2 linked regions of the Bombyx mori genome follow. The protein of the gene in region 1 purifies or fractionates together with the protein of each later gene. This does not show direct contact. Links are inferred from orthologs where the notes say so. Each region holds a gene or a part of one and is shown on either strand. Other genes may lie near its edges. The genes, in order: protein phosphatase 1 regulatory subunit 12B and serine/threonine-protein phosphatase PP1-beta catalytic subunit.

Region 1 (10,178 bases):
CCTGTATGTCAAGTGATTAATACAGAAAAACTATTTTTAATATATCGTTGACTTCATGGCCACTATCGTGACGTCAACGGTTGGAAAATTCAAGTCAAACAAAACGCATCAGTACTATCCGAAGACGACAGTATTTGGGTCAGAGCTTTTCGAAACAGGGACACATAGACTTGAAAATAGATTTTATATTCAACGAAAAATAAATGTTAACAATCGCATCTATTATGCTGCATATAAGTATTCATTGCTTCATATTATTATTATATAATTGTTTCCAAATAAAAAAGTTATCCCTTAATATTTTTACAAATAATATATACCTAATGTATAATGTGTTGATTTAAGAAGAAAATGTAGTATATGTTAAGTTCGGCACATGCGTACCTTCACGAGGAGGGGGACACCGAATGTCTTGTCAATACTGATCGACACCGATAACTGATTGATGAGGCGTCGCGCTTACCAATAGGAGATAAAATCAATCAGTGAGATATCTCCGAGGATCATACCTGGCCCGGCGGCCGACGACCTCTTTATATTTAATTTTACAGGTGATGGCAGGCTCACGTGCTACCGTCGCCCAGTGATGCGTCAACGAGTCGCACACGCGCGATCTTGCCGTCGCTCCGCGTGGGAGTTAACAACATTTTCACTCAGACACGGTTCGGTCGGGGAAACATTTAGTCTCTTTCCACAAGCCGCGCCGGGCGGTCGTCGCATCTCGGTCCTATTCCACGTTGAAATGTGATCGAGGATGAGTCGAAAACAGGATAGATACACATCGCGGCCACGCAGCCTGACCTCTCATTATGGCTCTTCGCCTAGTATGCTTGGCTCAGTCCTAAGTGGTCAATACAGCCCATACGCGAATAATTATTCGAATTATACTCCGAGTACGTACAGAAACTACAACCCTTACAGTGTGGGGTTGGGTCGTCCGGCTTCTAATCTCAGCATTTATGGAGGGACAAGTTCGGGTTACGGCGGTGTGTATTTGAGTGGCGCGACTTTAGGATCTCTGAACTTAATGACTCCGGTGTTAAAAAAATTGGACAAAAAGTTATTGGCCAGCCAAAAGAATTTCAAGCCAAAACCAGTTCCGCCAGCTAAAGTGACAGAATCAGCGCCTGGAGAGCCCGTTCCGGAGATACCACCGGTACGACCTGAACGGAAACCCCGCGCCAACAAGCCTGCCACCGCACTCGACAAGGAGAAGTCTCGATCCCTTGGCTCTCTAGAGACTGTCGGAGGCGTCGGATCTCGGTCATTGAGTCTCAACTCATTAGCTTCAGATGGATATTGCGTATGTACTTTTAGAAATTAACTAACTAGGACTACAATATTTTATCTATGATTACGAAATAATATTATAAAGAACGCAAGTAAATTATCCCCGAAATCCAAGTATCTAACTGGCCCCACGCCATGGATTCTCAAATATTTTACCCAGCCGCGATTACATTTATACGATTTGTTTACACGCGAGCGCGTTGAATTTATTTCGTAAACTAGGTGAAATCATCTTGTAGAAAGATGAAAATGGTCGGAACGTTCTATGTGAAGTGAACTAATTCATCAAGAAAAGTTCCATAAACCTATTTTATTAGTGACTCGTGAATTTATCGAGCGTGTGCCGTCAGCAACGTTAAATGTCTATGATGATTTAACCGACATTGAACATAGCTTTATTTATTTGGGTTGTAAAGAGAAGAAATAATCGATTTTTCATCGATTGAATTATCAAAAAAGAAATAAGCCGTTATAAAAATAACAAATTTTATATTAACTTTTTTCGAGCGAGCGAGCTTCTCCATAATTGTGTCCAATTCCTCACATTACACACCCACAGTAATGTTGGTGCTATTCGGTAAGAAGCTGTGATGAAATATAACGGCACTAGACCACCAAACAGTGACCATGACATTTTAGGGTTAAGTTTTCGTTTGAGGCATTTCCTAGGTGCTGAACCAGACCCTCGTTACGTTTACGACTATCGAAATGAATCCATTTCTCATAATCAAGTGACAATGCAGATGAAACAATATGGTTTTGATGCTAGCTTGATGTTAAAAGCTGCTATTAGTAGCTGAGTTAGTTCAGCGATAGATTGACTATCGTCAGTTGTCACTATTACCATTGTTTCGTCATTGTTGACTTTAGTTTTCGCGTGACCACTGGATTCATATTTAAATCAAAATTTCCATGTCGGAAGCCTTCAAACCAATAATGTGTCGTGCGTTCGTTTATAGCGCTCATGTTATTAATTTTGTAAACCGCTTGTGTAGTACTGCTACCGCAACAGAACTTGTATGGCATAATTAGTCGTATTTTTTATCGCGTCGAAAACGAAACACTAATCAATAAAAAACGACTTAATTAGAAAATAGAATCCCATATTTTTAACATAAATGTCATTTGAGCTTAGAATGTATTGTCAGACATAAAAAAAAAAAGTTGCAAGTGGTCGGTATTGTGAAGCGGCAACATCATGGTAAAGTTCTATTTCCAAGAGTTTTATATCAAAGAGTTTCATTGTAACTCGATACCGCCCTCGCGCCGACATGTGCAGCACTCTTCTTACGACCACGACGACCGTTAACCGTTGAAAACTTCGAAAACTATAAAACGAAGAAGCAAATAACGCAAATAAACCTTAAAAGTATTTTGAGAACAATGTAACTGAAACTGTGTAGGCGTATAAGGGTGTAACGAACTTAAAAATAAAATAATTAACATATATGTATATCAAACACAATGAACTCCATTTCTTTTGTAGCAAAAGAGAAAATGGTTTTTTCCAGAAGTACAAATAAAAAAGGTTTTTTTTCTAGACACACATCAAAGAACTCGCAAATCTCCTAAACAAATTACAATATAGCGAAATATACACTTTTCCACGAAACACGTGTATACATGAGTTTTTAAATCTCCAATCCATCATGTTTTGCGAAGGCGGGTGAATATTTATGTGGTCTGTCCTTAGCTGGTTAAACAGTTAAAATTTATAAATTCATACACCAGTGTTGGTTTATTTTATTACAATGATTATCGTATTAATAACACGCATATCGATATTTGTATAGCATCGATACATATAATTATGACAAAAGACAAAGTATCATTCTATTACTAGTCGGGACATTAAGAAACAACATCATGAATAAAATGATGTAAAGAATTTGAATTATTTCGTTTTTTTAACTAGAGATCATGATTTTTCGATCGCGGCACATTTGTAAAGGCACTCGTGGCTTAGGACCAGTAATGATTGGACACTTACTATGCAATCATAAAATTCTATTATCCATTAAAAAAATAAATCAATAAGACTCGAGCTACCGGTTTGAGTTGTAAAATAATTTAATGGAAGCAATTCAGAATTGCAACAAACGTTGAACAAGCAACTGCAATATTTTGTTTCGATCGATACGTCCTCCGTGTCTCCGTTGGGAGCGACGATGTTACGATGTTTTCCGAAGAAGGAGGAGGGATTTTGCATAGTCCCAGACTCTGAAGGAGGCGGCCTCTCCCGGTAATTAAGACCATGGAGCGACCGGGAGGCTACTAGCACTAGCGCGCTATACTAGTTATGAAGTCCGACTTATTGGCTGTGTTTCGCGGCTCTGGTTCATTGGAGTATTCTATAACACCAGCAGCACCGTGGGGCCTCTGCCGTACTATGAGGCCGGCGAAGACATCAATTCGTCTCCGACGACTTCATCTTTTGAGATACTTGGTGTGAGTCGCGGGTATGGCCGTAGTATTGACTGTGGTAATATCTTACTTCTCCCGGGCTCTGTTTCGGGCGGGGACCGGACATTCAGGCGAAATTCCAGGGGAGTCGTTTATAAGTGGCCTCTAGCATCTTAACAGTCCCACCTGCACCGCAATTTCCCCTGCCGCAGAAGGAACCAAATACGTGAAACTGAGAAGATCCGTGAGCTGTGTCTGTGATCCGAAATGACGTGTTTTGGGGGACGTCGACTTACGATGCACACTAACCTTATGCCACGTAGTCAAAATTGTAGCCTCTAGTCAGTAATGTTTGTCTGTTCTCTCGAAGGCCTCTTTGTTGACTTCAGCTGCCCAGCTCATCAGCTGTCTAAATGCCGGTTACATTTAATATACTCGGGAAATAAATTCAAACTCTCTGTTTGTTTTCAGTGTTTATTTTACCCTGCTAATTCCTATCTCATGCGCTACATTCGGTGTTAGGGCTGATTGTGGTCGTGGCTATATGCTACCTGAGAATGAAAGTAGTCGTGATGAGGTTATGTATTTGATCGTATTATCATAATATGGCTATCATATATCATTTTCTACTCGGGCTCCAGGCTAGGCTAACAAAGCGCTCATCCCGAGGCTCAGTTGTCCCACTACTGAAGATGGTCTTCTAATTATCGATGGAGTTTGGAGTGGCTTGTATTTATGTTGGAATCTAATATCTGGTAATGTCTATGTAAGGATCGGCTATAACTGTATCTATTGATTTATATACCTGTCTACGGAATTTACAGTATATTCACAGAAATCGGCTCGTTTCTCGAGTGACTCACTATTGTACAACGGTGTCTCGTTTGGATGCTCGGTCAGAACCAGTATCTCTGCAAAGTATATTTGATACTCGGCATTCGGGTGTCGTTATTTCTATCTCGTACGTATTTCTAGTGTCCATAATATAGGAGAAATTAAAAGTAAATAAAATTATTTCACACAACCGCTATTGATATTCGGATCAGAATTTCTAGCAACTTTTATTAACTAACTAATTCATTTAACTACACATACGTTCAAGGCTAATACCGTGCGAGACGGCAGGGTATTCGAATTACTGTTTCATATTAGATTAGCGTCTGTCTCTAGAAACATTTAGGTCATATCAATGACTTATTAATGTCAAGTTAATTATTTTCTAACGGGATTAGTTACCGATATATGATGAATATTTCGTGTGATATGATATACATGGATTTTCGGATTAATAGAAGAGTTTAACTTACGATTTTTTTGCCGTGAGATTGAATTGACGAAGTTGAAGCCCATTTAAAAACCCCACTCTTGGTTTTTGGTCCCCGCTTCTGCTTTGCTGCTGAGGTGGAATTGTGACAGGACAAGAGAGGTTAACGCAAGTTTCGTTAACTCAATCAGCGGTCGTCGACGACCACCATGTTGTCTTCTAACATCCTTCACTGGTCTCTAATCAAACATTCAATGGGCCTGAAAGACGTTAAGGGTTGTGGAGCGTCTGAAATATCTTGTCCTACATCCGACTCGATAAAGGCTATTCATGCAAAGAGAAAATTGTTCTGACAGTCAAACTCGCGTATCTTACCATACGTGGTTTCGTAGAAGTAAAGTGTCGCCATTCAGACCTCGAGCCACACATGTATGTCTCAGAAGTGAGACGGCATTCAAGTTATAACCATATCCATGTGTGTAAATGTCGAACAAATTGAACGACTTCAAAATGATATACACATTATTATTTTTATTGCTTAGATAGGTGGATGAGCTCACAGCTCACCTGGTGTTAAGTGGTTACTGGAGCCCATAGACGTCTTCCACGTCACCCACCTTGAGATATAAGTTCTAAGATCTCAGTATAGTTACAATGGCTGCCCTACCCTTCAGACCGAAACGCATTACTGCTTCACGGCAGAAATAGGCGGGGTGGTGGTACCTACCCGCGCGGACTCACAAGAGGTCCTACCACCGTACCATACTCAACGATTTTTTTTATCTATTGTTTTAGTCTGGAAGCGAACGTACCGAGGAAGGCGAAGAGCGAGACTACAAAGCACTTTATGAAGCGTCTGCCAGCGAGGTGCGGCGTCTACGGTCACTGCTCACGACTTCAGAGCAACAGCTACGCGAGGCCCGCGCCACCATCGCAAGGCTCACGCAAGTGGTATGACATGTACTTTGATGTCGGTGTGCATGATTGTTTCATTCGCCTGCTCTGTGATTTGCGTTCAATAATGATTACATACAATCCCGTAGGAAACTGGAGGGTTCAAAAGAATTGCAATTTCCGAACGGCTAATTACAAATTTTTGTTTCGAATTGTAAGTTCATAATTTAGTTTAAAATTTTAAATCCTGACTAAATATTTTTGAGATTTAAAATCTTGCTAAAATGCCTAAGAATGTATTTAAATATTCCGATCAAAGTTTCTTTGTAAAACCATTTCATGCATATCCGCAACTGTCTAGAGGGCAGTCATACTAAGAGTATGATTTACGATAAATCAATTAGATTTCCTTAAGTAAATTTCACATGAACCGTTCACTAAAAACTAGAATTGGAACGTACGAAAGAAATTCGCAGCGCTTTAGAATCCCTGTTTTGTTTCAAATAGAATTTACTTTTCAATTCTTTTATTTTGTAGTCTGTATCTTACGATAAATGCGTAGTGCACAAACCACCCTTTCAAAACCTACTGCTGCAACTTGCGAACGTGCTTTTGTTTATTGTGTTAGTATTGGTCGTAGATTTGTGTGTTATCATTACGATGTTGTGATCAGCTTTAGACAAAAGAAGAAGATTGGAACACGGACCCAAATATAATAAATACCTAGTGTGGTTTGTGTTTGTTTATGTAGTGCGGCGTGATTTTCGTAAGTAATTATCGGCTTAAGGTAGATGACAACTTGGCAGCCGCGCTTTTTGCATTTGCGTAGGTACATTGTCAATTTTAGATGTTTTGCCCCGGCGATACATAGACACAGCATGGATGCATGATGCGCATTGCGAATACGCACCCGCAGCTGTCTATCATTTAACGAAAGAGGAGATATCGTTTTAGACGTGAATCACTACTTATATGAGCAATTAATTTGGATATAATATATTCCAATTACTGAAGACCATTCAAGGTCATTTTTTTTTAATATCCGATATCTGACTCAATGCATTATATGCTGCAGTATTTACGTGTCATAAATGTGATTAATCATTAAATAAAATTTGATTTTCAATACTCGTAAAAATTTCATTGAATTTATCGTGATGTTTCATTTCGACACGTCAAATTGTAAACAAATTGTGCAATATATTAAAAAAATAATTAAATTCTTTAATGCTATGCAGAATGTAATTAATTGCCCAATCGTAAATTGCACGAGTATGCAATGACCGTAACAATAGCTGTCGAATTATTTATTAAAATGATTATTAAAATGACTTGCAAGATATATTCGGCGTTCATTAACGAAGCTGATGCAATTAGTATATTTTGTAGGTATATATTTACATAAGGCATATTACAAAGTACTGATTCACTTTCTGAAATGTGTCTAATTAATGCTGTTATTTCGAAGCGAAGGTCATATTATTTTGAAACTACGGGTTCACGATTCACAGTATTAATGTGATTTGATAATATGAAATTTTGTTTTGTTCTCAGAATCAGAATTCATTATCTGAAATCGAGAAACGGGAAAAGAGAGCGATGGAAAGAAAACTATCGGAAATGGAAGAAGAGCTGAAGGTAACGAATCACAAAATAACTGTTTTCGAACGATATCGAACACTGTTCCTACACCACACATTATAAATATATATATATGTAGGTTAGAGTTGCAAAAATTGGCGTTCGTCAAGATGGCGCCGCACATCAGCCGCAGATAACAATAATCAATGTTGATGTTTTATAGCAATTGCAAAAACTAAAAGCCGAGAACGAAAGGCTGAGGGCAGAGAACCGTGCACTGACGCGTGTCGTCAGCAAATTGACCAACTCTGCCGCCAAATAGGTAACTGTGTACGTTTGTTGAGCGCCCGCTCCAGTGGCGACGCCGCACGGCTTGTTTCGGTATCACCTACAAACATCTCGCTTGCAATCCTACCAGAATAATTCTTGCGTCATTTATAAATACACTTAGTTTTGAATCACTCAATTTTTTCTTTAATATCCCTCTCTCCCCCTCCCTCCCCCTCCCTGTCCCCTCCCCCTCTCCCCCTCCCTCTCTCCCCCTCCCTCTCTCCCCTGCCTCTCTCCCCCTCCCTTTCTCTCTCCCCTCCCTCTCTCCCCTCCCTCTCTCCCCTCTCCCCCTCCCCCTCTATCCCCTCTCCCCCTCCCTCTCTATCCCCCTTTCCCCCATCTCTCTTTCCCTCTCTCTCTCTCTTTCCCTTTCTTCTAACAGAATTATATATATATTTAAATATTTAGTTTTCGAAGGCTGTTTTGCTAAATCCGAAAAGGCAAGTGACGACCGTAAATTCTAACTGCTTTAATATTTCTTCAAGATATATGATTGATACTAAGGTCATGTTAGGTTAGGAGACGTATACACTAACTCTAGGATCGGGTGGTTGCAAGCGAGATGTCGTCCTCTAGTTTCGTACACGTGGTCCGTGGACCGTACCAGTCGCGATCCCCACTACGTCATATAACGATGTGAATTAACCGTGTGATATGGCGAGCATGCTTTCGTACGTGTCTGTCTTAACTAACGCGTGTTCCCGGATGCGCTATTCGGTTCGCATTCAAGCCAATAACGTAGACGAAGTCGGATGCGTTGTGTTTTATTATATCTGTTTTGTTAACGTATATACATATAATATTATATACTACGTAAGGGTTTGTTAAATCGTCTCAAATTTAGTTTTGATTGTACGTTAAATGTTTAGTACTACTACTGTCGGTGAGGGATATTTGTTTTGTAATGTGATTCAGGCAAAACAGTAGAGGTGATGAAAGGTAATAGGTTCTTGTGGTATTTATTACCTCATTAAGAAATTGAAATGAAACACAACGTAGTGCAACGAGCTAGCGTGTGTTGCATGAAATGTTCCCGTAATTGTTGAACGAATCAAATCATTTCCCAGATTTTAAACGTATCGAATAATGTACGTACATAAGTACTTTAAAATAGTTATTTTTTATTACAATTAAAACGTCAATCGACCTAACGAACGAAGTACACATCGACACTCTGATCGAACACTTAATACGCACACACATCACACCCGATTAATGATTTAATTTTATTACTATAAAGTTTGGTACACATCCTAACCGAAGCGTAGCGCATCATGTACATACTGTGTTTTAGCTTTTAGTTTTTAATCTTGTATTATTTTACAATAAAATTTTTGAAATTAATTTCGTTTGAAATCAATTTTTTTGGGAAGATCACCTTGTCGAAACTATAAATTCATGTAAATATATTATATTGAATTATCGATTCTTATAAATAGGTGACGATTTTTTTTATCGTGTTTTTTTTTTTAGTTTTTTTCTTTTTCCGTTAAATATTTTGATACTTGCAATTGATTATACAATGGACGTTTTCAGTATCAACAGGCACTGCAGGCCGAAAACCAGCGGCTGAAGGACGAGAACGGGGCGTTGATCAGAGTCATCAGTAAGCTGTCCAAATGAATCTCGAGCTCGCTGAGCCAATGTTCGCGGACAAACTGACCTCCCTCACAAACAACGCCGCTATTAGACAGAATCAATCCGAACGTTTAGGACATTTACTTACACGCGAAATACGAAACAAGTGCGTGAAACCATAAACTTCATGTATTACGAGTGATCGACACCATTGTACATAACATCGATTCTTTTTCGTTTTCATTCGGATATGTAATAAATATATATGTACGTCTCTGATCGCATCCCCTCGGAACATTGCAAACTGTAACTTTTATCGTATATTGTGAATTTTACATATTCTTAAAATTTCGAAGGTTTTACAAACTTTATATTATTGTCGTATTGTTATTATATATACTATATTATGATCGCACATGTAATCGGTATTGGAATCAAGTTGCGGCGTATGAACACGTGTGCGCATCGATATTACTTACTGCTAATGCGTTTATTTCTTCGTTGTCTATTACTAATTATAATGATTTGTGCCTAAAACATAGTTCCTGCTATTAGCAAAGTTCCGAAGATGAATTTATTGGAACGGCCCCCTTTATACAGTGTGGATTATGCATAATGATTACGAATTTTGTTTAACGATAATTTATTTATAATTTAAAAAAAAATGCAATCTATATAAACTTTAATATTAAAATCGCGTAAGATACGAAGCAAACGTGTAAGTTCTAGTAATCGAAATGGTATACTTACTAATTTTACGATTACAATTTTATTATTTTTGTGCGAAATAATTAACCGCTTTGTATATGTATGGATTTGTATTTAAAATTGAATCTTT
Region 2 (4,276 bases), on another chromosome or scaffold:
TATAATTATTGTGTTCTCATCAGTCCTAGATACACGTACAAATTTTCAAATTGATCAGAAAACTCCAGAGGGTAAATATTATGTTGAAAGATTTAGTTACATGAAGAGAGAGTGAGTCAGTGAGTGAGTGAGTGAGAGAGAGAGAGAGAGATATATAGAAATATACCTAGATAGATACAGATAAAGCTAATAAGAACAATACTTTATAGATAACTTTGAGTATAAAATCTTAGCAAAAAGTAGGAAGAAGTGAGACACAATTTATTTTATGTTTTTTTTTGTGTGGCACTTATGGTGCATCATGTATGCATGCTGAGGAAAAAAGTTACTCTTTCATAATTTCATAATGAGAAAAAGGGAGGAGAAAAAAAAAACTTTTATTTATATTAAAGACATTTAAAAAAAGGTTTGTATGTTTGCTCTCTGTGGGTCTAGAGCTGGCTAGATTGAAAAAAGTGTGACAATAAAGAATGACACCAAACACTGACATCTTTTCTGATTCTGATCTGATCTTCATCTGATTTTTGAGGCACTTCCCGAAGACCTAGGAAACTGAAACTTCTATTTTCAATATTTTTTTCTATTCATTCAGGTTGGCATTAATTTTGAGAATATGCATTTATTTTACATATTTTTAATAAATAATACTGATTTTTTTTTGTTCACCAATATTCCCAAAAATTTTCTGCAATACCACGTTTATTCACATTTCATTTACATGCATGATTCCTTTGCAGGAGGTACAGAGAGGATTGTATTAAATGCTAGGGCTAGGTAAGTATGCCCTAATACCACCAACTACAGAATTGTCTTGCAGATAATTTTGGATAATGGTTATTCTATTACAGCTCAGGGAATGATTCCAATACTTATTTTAAATTTTATGCTTTAATACAGGGTGTATTAAATCATAAAAGTTAAATAAACATAGTATGAATGAAATAACAAACTTTGAAAATAGAATTTTACTTTTGAAAGTAGCTTAGGTTCATGAAATTAAATAAGCTAAATAATTATTTTTAAATCTCATTGTTACTGGTGTAAGATATTTATATTTCATTAAGAATGTTTTTAATTTAGTGAAAAAAAGAACTTTTAAGACTTTACCACAAATTTTGAGTGGTGCCTCCAACTCCAGTAATATGGGCTGCTGCAGGAATATTTCTCTGGACTTTGTGCAGAGCCCACGTACCTCTGCCTCCGACATTTGCACAGTCTTGCCAGGCCTGCATCCTCGAACTAAGGCAAAAGTTTGAAGTCAGAATAATAAGATTTATTAAAAATATAGATTTGTTTAAAACTGTAGTACAACTAAAAGCAATTAAGCACTCTTAGCCTTTTTTTGTTTATAATTTTATTCTTATAAGTAGCTAAGGAAGCATAGTTAGTATAGTTTTCAATTTAATTTTATAAATTTAATTGAATGGGTTTCAGTTTGCTAACTTCTAACTCAAAATAAACAGAATGCTTTTCATAACACAAAAAACATTTATCAAATGCAGGGGTTTTATTAAATGTTATATTTATGACATGTAAGGCATGCAGACATTTTCATGCAAAATACAATTTAACTACCATTCCTAGAATGAAATTTGATAAGAATCTAACAAAACAAAATGTATTCAAGTATTGATAAATTTATAGGCACACAAATCAACAAGCACTCCTAAACACTAGCACTCAGTATCAAAATTGATCACCAATATAATCTCAAAAAGTTATTAATTTAAAAAATTTGCAAGATTAAGATCAAGTTTTTATCTAAATTAACATTATACAGCTGTAAACACAGATTGCAAGACCTTCCTATAAAATGGTTTAGCGATCATAGTTTGTATATACTTGTGGCTATTTTTAGATTCAATTGAAGAATGAGATGTTGATGGGTAACACATGATATAATTATTGGGAATAAACTTTCGGTTAAGACTGATCACTAGGGTAGTAAGAAATAAACGTTCTAGCTGAATACTCTGGCAAGAATTTTGAATGTGGCCATACATTCTCCTGAAAAGATGTCTTTCAATTTGCCTTTCTTCCTTGCAGTTTCTTGTTGCAGTCTGTATACTGTTGTAACCCATCAAAAAGCAGCACAATAAAGTGAAATGTATATGTTTGAATCAAGTAAGCAATGCGTAACACTAATAAAAGAACAATAAGTTTGTGAGTGTTTAAATCTATGGAAGTCTGACATCATTGTTCAGGGCTAAAATCTAACAACTATTGTTTATACGTAAATCTTCCCTTCTAATTGAAAAATAACATATCCAAGGCATTTAAACATTAACAGAAACGCTAATATGCAGCCTGATAAGAAATTAAGGATAATCGATTTATTTATGAGGTTGACGTTTCTATGCCTTCTTATTCAGAAATAATTACGCAACAAGGACCAGCTGAATGAAAACCCAATATTATCAGACTTGCAACTAGACGTCTGGTAGTTAAGAGAGGCTCACAAAATCGTAACAAATTGCATTTTACCTTCCAAAAGTCTGTGAATTAGACTGTCAACATTTAGTTCGTCAGCCATATTTACTACACGAATAAATTTATGTCAAAAAGTCAAATGTTTTTTTCTTCCTGTTTGCTCTTATTGTTTGTGGTTAGAATTACTCTTCATAATACGCAGAACTTGTAAAGAAGTAAATAGGAGAACAATTTTATGTTTAAAATGGTTTTTATCGTCGCTTCTCATTTATTGTGTTTCATGGATAGTTACTTAACTTAAAAAATGTCCATTGGTAGACACAAAACGTTAAAATAAAATAGCATTTGAGTAAGTTTCAGGTACATTCCAAGTACTGCAAAATGATTCGTATTTGGTTTTTAATCGGTTTGGTTGGAAATATACATATCTGCAAGAACGTTTTGGGTTCCTAGGTGAGACGTATAATTTTTTCCTGTGTTTGTTTGCTTATCGTTTCCATGCTGTTGATTTATTAAGTATATATAAGTAAATTAATATATAAAAGTATATTGGGACCTATATAAGTGATTATGGTGATTTCATATTGTGTAAACGGTCTAAGCATATATACTATTTATTGTATTGTGTTTGAAGTCGTCGTGGCCTAAGGGATAAGACGTCCGGTGCATTCGTGTTGAAGCGATGCAACGGTGTTCGAATTCCAGACGGGTACCAGTTTTTCTAATGAAATACGTACTTAACAAATGTTCACGATTGACTTCCGCGGTGAAGGAATAACATCGCTGTAATAAAAATCAAACCCGCAAAATTATAATTTGCGTAATTACTGGTGGTAGGACCACTTGTGAGTCTGCACGGATAGGTACCACCGCACTGCCTATTTCTGCCGTAAAGCAGTAATGCGTTGCGGTTTGAAGGGTGGGGCAATGAGCTCGTTCACCTATCTAAGCAATAAAAAAAATGTATTTTTTTCCTTATTAATCTATTCTTAATAGTACACCGCAACATATACAATACTGTATCTTAATATTTTGAGAATTTCTGTAAATAAATCGGTTGTCTAGAACAGATCGCTTTTAGTAATAAGGTCGCATAATGTACAAATATATCTACTTGTTGATTCTTTTTTAATGTTAATTGTGTTTTGGCGTGCATTAAAGTATATTCTCTCGAGAGATCACTTTCCATGAAATTTAACATTATCGGTGCCCATTCGTAAATCGTGCTCTATTCGCTTCAAATTGAAATAAAGTAAAATCAGCTGAATTATTCAATTAGTACCTTTTTTACTCATCGTTTCTAAAGTTGTTCTAAGCATTAAAATGAAGTATTCATCCGATAATATTTTTAAACTACTACTCTAAAAACCATCGAACTTGGAGTCGTTGCGTTTCCAGAGATGTTTTTTCCACGTACCATTCGGCTCGATATTTAATTTGCCTCTACAGTGTTTCCCGAGTATTTCAAACTGGGCTTGGAATGAGTTTGGAATGGTACACAGCGCTTGGACTAGCATGTTGAGACAAACTTGAATATTGCTCTGCTTTGGAAGGCTTAATAGATTTATTAAAATATTACAATTGACAGCCATACCGGTATAAGTTGCAAAAACAGTTATTAGTTCTGTAGTAGAAAGCTCATTCTATATAATCTGATACAAAGGTGTTATAATTTCATTAATTTTCTCTAAAATTAATCGAAATCAAATTCACAACTACTTTTAGATTAATAAGTGGACAAGTTTATTTTTATTTTTGGTCATTGTATTTTTTTTTGATATTTTGTGTTTTGAGCCATCGACTAAATTTGACTTTTAGGCAAAGACAACACTTGTTTTATTTTTAA

What was found.
Region 2: the proteins of protein phosphatase 1 regulatory subunit 12B (region 1) and serine/threonine-protein phosphatase PP1-beta catalytic subunit purify together in Drosophila melanogaster (affinity purification with mass spectrometry; 3 studies listed by BioGRID, with this or other methods). This does not show direct contact. The link is inferred for Bombyx mori from reciprocal best matches to the Drosophila melanogaster genes Mbs and flw.

What each region holds. Positions count from the first base shown.
Region 1 is NC_085107.1:4,001,293-4,011,470, reverse strand, and holds the end of protein phosphatase 1 regulatory subunit 12B, read left to right. Parts: intron 1-5,752; coding exon 5,753-5,908; intron 5,909-7,405; coding exon 7,406-7,489; intron 7,490-7,655; coding exon 7,656-7,754; intron 7,755-9,298; coding exon of another isoform or gene 9,299-9,385; 3' UTR 9,386-9,420; downstream 9,421-10,178.
Region 2 is NC_085124.1:8,354,003-8,358,278, reverse strand, and holds the start of serine/threonine-protein phosphatase PP1-beta catalytic subunit, read right to left. Parts: upstream 2,801-4,276; 5' UTR 2,534-2,800; coding exon 2,485-2,533; exon of another isoform or gene 2,373-2,484; intron 2,125-2,372; exon of another isoform or gene 2,008-2,124; intron 1,240-2,007; coding exon 1,108-1,239; intron 1-1,107. UniProt on the Drosophila melanogaster protein: Required for cell adhesion in non-muscle tissues and in maintenance of muscle attachment. Vital for larval development.